2 linked regions of the Neodiprion lecontei genome follow. The protein of the gene in region 1 purifies or fractionates together with the protein of each later gene. This does not show direct contact. Links are inferred from orthologs where the notes say so. Each region holds a gene or a part of one and is shown on either strand. Other genes may lie near its edges. The genes, in order: mitochondrial import inner membrane translocase subunit Tim16 and mitochondrial import inner membrane translocase subunit TIM14.

What was found.
Region 2: the proteins of mitochondrial import inner membrane translocase subunit Tim16 (region 1) and mitochondrial import inner membrane translocase subunit TIM14 purify together in Homo sapiens (affinity purification with mass spectrometry; 3 studies listed by BioGRID and IntAct, with this or other methods). This does not show direct contact. The link is inferred for Neodiprion lecontei from reciprocal best matches to the Homo sapiens genes PAM16 and DNAJC19.

Annotation. Positions count from the first base shown.
Region 1 is NC_060265.1:28,102,006-28,105,197, reverse strand, and holds mitochondrial import inner membrane translocase subunit Tim16, read left to right. Parts: upstream 1-1,703; 5' UTR 1,704-1,909; exon of another isoform or gene 1,910-1,941; intron 1,942-1,971; 5' UTR 1,972-2,029; coding exon 2,030-2,419; 3' UTR 2,420-2,501; downstream 2,502-3,192. Other genes in the region: exonuclease 3'-5' domain-containing protein 2, read right to left, coding at 2,819-3,046, 3,116-3,192. UniProt on the Homo sapiens protein: Regulates ATP-dependent protein translocation into the mitochondrial matrix. Inhibits DNAJC19 stimulation of HSPA9/Mortalin ATPase activity.
Region 2 is NC_060263.1:26,439,730-26,443,620, forward strand, and holds mitochondrial import inner membrane translocase subunit TIM14, read right to left. Parts: upstream 1,897-3,891; 5' UTR 1,630-1,896; coding exon 1,627-1,629; intron 1,254-1,626; coding exon 1,119-1,253; intron 918-1,118; coding exon 705-917; 3' UTR 560-704; downstream 1-559. UniProt on the Homo sapiens protein: Mitochondrial co-chaperone which forms a complex with prohibitins to regulate cardiolipin remodeling.

The sequences.
Region 1 (3,192 bases):
TGAGATGAATCGAATTATTCCGAATTTTCGTCGCATACTTGGTGATAAAATTTTACGCACCCCCTTCTGATATTTATTCGTAAACAATATTCATCATCGTTTCGTACAAATCGTCGTGTCTCGGATCTCACGTCGATCGTCCGTACGTAGAATACCGTAAGAATTCAAATTCTCGGCTACTTCGTAGAGTAGAATTTAAAACAGCATACATCCACATATACGGACACTCTGACGCCGCCTCACTTTTTTTCATTGATAATTCAATTACCAGTCTAACTAAAATTCATCGTTGACAATATTAGCCGATCGTGGTTTTACCAATGTTCGGATAAAAATACGTGCAGGGCAATGCAATCGTCATATCGTAAAAAGGAAATCAATCCAAGTTTAGCGCACGTATGTTAATACTTATTCAACAATATTTAAGGTCGCACAATCTGCTCTTATATCCCTCCTGCGTTCGAAAGTTCAACCCTTTTTCGTTACCGAGTAGCGACTGGTTCGTACGGCCTCTAGTTACGGTACTGAAGGACATGCGGACCGACGGACGGACGGACGGTCGGTCGGTCGGTCGATCGAAGTAAAACCGAGGGCGCCACCTCGCCGCCAACCCCATTTACACACGACCCATACGACACGACCTATACGCGCGGCATATCGACATTATCGTTCGCAATACGCGGTGGTTCAAGGAGACGGAATGATTTCAACGCGCGCTTGTCGGAGATGGTATCTGGAGTTAACTTCAAGCCGATGGAATTACAAGGCGAGGGGGAACAACGTCGTGAATAACACCGTTTGACCGTTACTTTTAGAGAAATGCTAATTCGTGACGCGGCGCGGTCTTTCTCGACTTGCGCGTTGTGAAAATTTGACAACGGAGACGCGCAGTGACGTCAACGGTATATGAAAATTTAAATCCACGCCAAGGGGATTTGCCATGTAGAGTAGTAAAAGGAAAACACCCTTGCATAAAACGAGGAGAAATAAAAGAATAAGCCGCGCAATCTCTATTTCGGTATAACGTTGAGTAAAGCGAACGAACGAAATGTTTCCATCGCCTCTCGGAATTATGCATATCAACTGAAAGTACGAAAAGTACATTTCAGAATTTAATAACCGCTATGTCTTGGAATGGAATACTGGAAAATTAGATTCCGTAGCAGTGGCCGGTGATAAAGGAAAGTAATTTACCGGACATTGTAATTTTAGTTGCGTTTTTCTTTCCATCTTATTTCTCACCACGCCAATACGAACTATTATTTTTTATGACTCTTTGTTAGGAACGGTAAAAAATAAGTAGAGGATATTTATCGATTCATAGTTTAATTATGGAATGAGGATAAGACAACGAGATATGTGGAGAGAAAAAGAGGTTTGCGTAGCTGGAACAGTTCATCGATTCTCACGCTTCGAATTCCACAAACGTTCCACTTCTCACTATTTAGATCTTAACACCGTCTATCGATATAGTTGTTGCTTTCATTCACCGCAAAATTGTTAAACAAATATGTATTTTCATAGGACACAGTACCGTTTATATTTCTGTGCCAAATGTCTAATAAGATAACCTGGCGTATATCTGCTTCTCGGCCATATCGTTATAATAATACGTATAACGAAATGTGGCTATACGACGATACTTAGATATAATTAACGACGGACGACGATTTCAGTTAATTGAATTCAAAGTGTTTACCCGCCGCAGATAATCGAATCCGAAACCCTCGATTACAGGGTAATTGGAATCGACACGATGCGATCGATGAAACCTGTACGCGAAGCTCGAATCATCGGACTCGTTTTCGGTTCACTCAGCGGCCAGCATTCAAATTCACGCCATGGCGAAGTGTGCCAAAAGTGAGGTTAGGTCGCCAATGGTGTCGTAACGAACGAGTCACTTCACCAGGTACAACTCGATACAACAGTGACATTTAGAAGGTTAGGATTTACTTCAAAACCTACTTACAGGTTACGCGAAGTGACAATTTATACCTGTGACTCCTCTGCAGGAGACAAATCCGAGGCGATGGCTAAATACCTGGCGCAGATAATCGTCCTGGGAACACAGGTCGTGGGTCGAGCATTTGCGCGTGCTCTTCGTCAGGAAATATCGGCTAGCCAAGAGGCAGCTAAGAGAGCTGGCGGCGGTGCTCAAGGTAGAGAAAGAGCTGCCGCGAACGCCAGGACTGGTCTAACTTTGGATGAGGCGCTGCGCATCATGAACATGGAGAGTCTCAAGGACAAGGAAGCGTTGGAACGTAATTACAAATATTTAATGGAGGCTAACGACAAGTCGAAAGGTGGATCGTTCTATCTTCAGTCAAAAGTCTTCAGAGCCAAGGAACGCATAGACGAAGAATTGAAGAATCAGGAACCACCTGGCCCTGACCCTCATAAAAAGAGCAAAGAAACTTAGCCCATTTAGCATCTAGTCTTTCAAATCTATCGCTGTTATGCCTGTATATATTAATTAATAATAAACGGTAATAGATATGTGACATCTATGTTGTCGCGTTCTTTTTTTAGATATCATGAATATATCGCTTAGAGTTGGCTTAACAAGGAATTTGCGTTACAGAAATATAGATGCACTTGCAAAGACCAAATAACTGATGCAATATGTGGGACTAACTTTCACATCATATCATGAGACATCAGAGTTATTTTACTCACTAGTCAGCTGTTGCTGATTGCAAGTTATAAAGAATGTAACGTGAATAAATGATGTGCAGGAAAAAAAAATAAAAACATGTAGTAACCGCAGGGAATATTATATTCTAAAAATAATCGGTTATTTACGTAGGAAATGTCACGTTTACGCATGGCAGCTGATCTTTTGGTCGTTTTCAAGTATCCCGGCCAATTTCGCATCTTGTGGTTCTATCCTGCGTTGCTGTAGACGGATTAGTAGACGCTCCTGATTGTGGCAGACTGACCACAATTCGGGCATATACTTTGGCTCCATTGCTGATAAAAAGTGCTCTCTCCAAAGCTGTTCCAACTCGACAAGACCGCCAGGTTGACTTTCAAAATGCTCTACAACCTGTATAAATTTCGTGTCATTTAGATAGGTGCAAATGGTTAAAGGGATGTTGAAACTATTGGTAGATACCTTCAACCCGTGTGGCGTACGACCCGTTTGCACAGATACTGAGGGCTGCGTTGCTTTTATTTGCTGATCAAGCTCAT
Region 2 (3,891 bases), on another chromosome or scaffold:
TAGTAAACGTTTATTTTTTCTCAATACAATTTGTCATTGGAGAGTTAAACCAGAAGCGAAAATCCTGTAATATACCCAATTAAACAATTCACAAACAATGATTCAAACTGTATGGATGGCATCGACAGGTAAGATATACCATTCTGTGTACTTCCTTGACTTAGAAATAATTTTATTATTCTGTTTAAATGCTGAAGTATATGAGTGCAAAAAATACGGTGCTCTATTAATTAGCATCTCTACTGGTATATCATACTTTTTGATAATCTTTGTCCAATCAAATTTGCTTTGACGTTTTTTATGATAAAAATGTGTGAGCAACTTTCTATAATTCTAACGAAAATGATTTTTATGGTTTACAGGTTCCATAATATCGAAAATTTAGCACGAATTGCCGAACAATTATTGCTGCAATAAATCGACGAATAAAATCTAAGCATAAAGGCATTACATTACGCTACATGTAGTACCCTGATTTGTAAATACTACTATTGTTCATAATTCAACGACGTTTTCGAAACCTCTAATGAGATTGGGAAATAAGGAATGTTCTTCAATGTCCAAAAAATAATTATTTATTCCTATTTAAATTGATCTATACATAAGTCGCAAATCAATTTGAAATAGTATGCTCAAATTTGGTTTGCATTCAATGATACTATTTGAAATTAATTAGAATACTAATAGCTATATAACTGAAAATACTATTTTTCAAGTAGATCCTTGGCTTCATTAATTTTAGCAGCTAAGTACGGTGAACCACCTCGATCCGGATGATTGGCAGACATAACTTTCATAAAATGTTCTTTAATTTTAGACTTGCTGGCGGTCGGTGATACTCCCAAGATAAGGCTGGCTTCTCTTTTCGTCATTTTGGGTTCAAATCCTCCTTTGTAGTACCGACTGTTTGCAAGTGACTGAAAAATAAACATAGTCCAAAATGAAAATCTAGATAATTCACATCTCTGTGTACAAGTACTTTCAGAATGCCAAATAAATTGATCAGAATCATTGAAACCACATCGAGCAGCATCATCATTGCTCAAAATCCAATCTTTCAAACCCTCAGGTTAAATTGTGCTTCATGTGCTATACAACATACATGAATTCATTCTTACCTGTGCGTCGAGTTTGGGCATGCCCTTAACTGCCTCAGCCATCTTTTGGGACAGCGTCGGCATGGCTCTAACAATGTAACGTCCAGCAAAACCAACAGCAGCCAACCCTAGTCCCGCAACGATCACTGTAGTAGACTGTGAAATTAATTGTGTTACTTTGGATCGCAATATAATGTAGGGTCGTCTTGAACCTAAGACTAGTTAATGTTAATAAAATGTAAATGTTCGTTTGGATAAAAAAGACAAAATCCAAATAGAGGGTTTCTTTTAAGTACGCAGAATCAATAGAGTAAATATTTGCGATAAGCAAAACTAATACAATACATGAATATTCGAAAGTCTAGCTCACGCTCGGACAGAATTGGTGTTGAAATGAAATTTAGATATCATGAAACAGTCGCAATAAATATAAAAAGACAATTTCAAGATTGTCAGAAAATGTAAATTCTGCGTGTTTGAAAAGTTGAAGATAATTTTATATTTCGAAAATGATCTCTGCTTTTCTCACCATTCTTCGAGCTCCTGATATTTATCTTGGGTATGGTAAAATACGAAATAATTAGGACAAATTCTGTTTTGGATACACTTATAATCCTAGCAGTACAATTAACCTAATTTACGGTTGCAATGTAGCATCCCGTGGATGTAAATAACAGTAGGCAATTTGCGTTTGCAATAAATGCAATATATGTAGCAATGCAGAGGTGTTCATCTAAAATTTAAGGTTAGAATGCCGCGACGACATGACGTGCGCAATGCGCCCAAGCCGACTATGTCCTTTATACGTGTTTATACGGCTGAGGAAGTGATAGGCTACTGCTCTTCTCCCTCTTCTCTGGTCTCCGCGGAGTACAATCTGCCTAGAAAATTGAGGTCGATTTCAAGGCACAAAGTTTCCGGTGATTTAATTAAAGTATAGGTACCCGAGAGAAGAATGTATACATAGATCATGAATAATGATAGATCAGATGTAATAATGATGCAGAGACCAACAAGTACATATGTATATGCGGTCCATGTACGATATTAATATAAATGATCCATTCTCGATTAATACGTAATGCATACGATAAATTTTATAATTTTCCAGGAGACAAACTAGATTACCTACAGTAATACGTCTATAATATGAAAATACTAGAATTATTCATTTCGGAATGGTATTCTATTCGACGCGCGCTCGATGTATTCCATAACATTAGTATTCATAATTATTCCAACAACTTTTCATTTGCTCTCTCGATCTTGAATTTTCATAGGCATAGAATCGAAACGCTGTTTTAGCTAGTCGCAAGTGAAGTATCTACGTTGGGTAGAGAAACAGAATTATTTTTCGTAAAGTATTCGGATGGAAAAAAATTCAAAGTAACTGTAATACATCACGGATGCGCTGATTTTGAACGAGATGAAATGGATGCTTCGTATATGAGACGGTATTTAACGCTGCGTAGTGATTGAAAGACCTGAAAAGGTGATAGGGAGAGAAAGAACGAAGCTTCTTAACACTTCGAGTGTATTTTAACACACATTTGAAAGATAAGAGCAAAATTTTTCATCGTCCAACTGTCGCAGAACGGCAGCGTTATCAGCTGACCCGTTAACTGAAGGATATATCTTCAGTCAACGGCTGACCATCGAAGGGCCTGGCCGCTTGAGTCTGGAATCGGCAGGAGAGATAAAGTGCGTATTTCTTGTATGAAATGTGAAAACTAAAATCATTATACATCATATCATATCATCGTACATCATACATCATACATCATACATTATATCATATCATCACACATCATACATCATACATCATACATCATACATCATCATACATAGTATCAAAGTTCGAAACCAAAGTTTAGATGTCGGATGTTCAGAAAGTGACGTCACCAATTCAAAATCAGCTAGCCGAATTCCTCAGTCGGGAAACAACCGCGCAGTAGAGCGGACGCATGAGAGTCGCGCTCCGCAAATTTCGAGTACCGGGTTCTCAACCTCCCGGATCCCGCGCTTCGGGTCCGCTACGTATTTCGAGTACCGGGTTCTCAACCTCCCGGATCCCGCGCTTCGGGTCCGCTACGCGATGAAACTCGACTTCCAGGATAAGCGCTCCGTGGTTCCTGGTTCATGTTTACAATAAATTATTTCAATTCGTTTTTCGCGCAAGCCCATATTCAGTAGCTTTCAGTCCGCTAATAAAATTTCTCGACTTCCAGGATAAGCGCTCCGTGGTTCCTGGTTCATGTTTACAATAAATTATTTCAATTCGTTTTTCGCGCAACCCCAAATTCGGTAGCTGTCAGTCCGCTAATAAAATTTCTCGACTTCCAGGATAAGCGCTCCGTGGTTCCTGGTTCATGTTTACAATAAATTATTTGAATTCGTTTTTCGCGCAACCCCAAATTCGGTAGCTGCCAGTCCGCTAATAAAATTTCTCGACTTCCAGGATAAGCGCTCCGTGGTTCCTGGTTCATGTTTACAATAAATTATTTCAATTCGTTTTTCGCGCAAGCCCATATTCGGTAGCTGTCAGTCCGCTAATAAAATTTCTCGACTTCCAGGATGAGCGCTCCGTGGTTCCTGGTTCATGTTTACAATAAATTATTTCAATTCGTTTTTCGCGCAAGCCCATATTCAGTAGCTGTCAGTCCGCTAATAAAATTTCTCGACTTCCAGGATAAGCGCTCCGTGGTTCCTGGTTCATGTTTACAATAAATTATTTTAATTCGTTTTTCGCGCAAGCCCATATTCGGTAGCTGTCAGTCCGCTAATAAAATTTCTC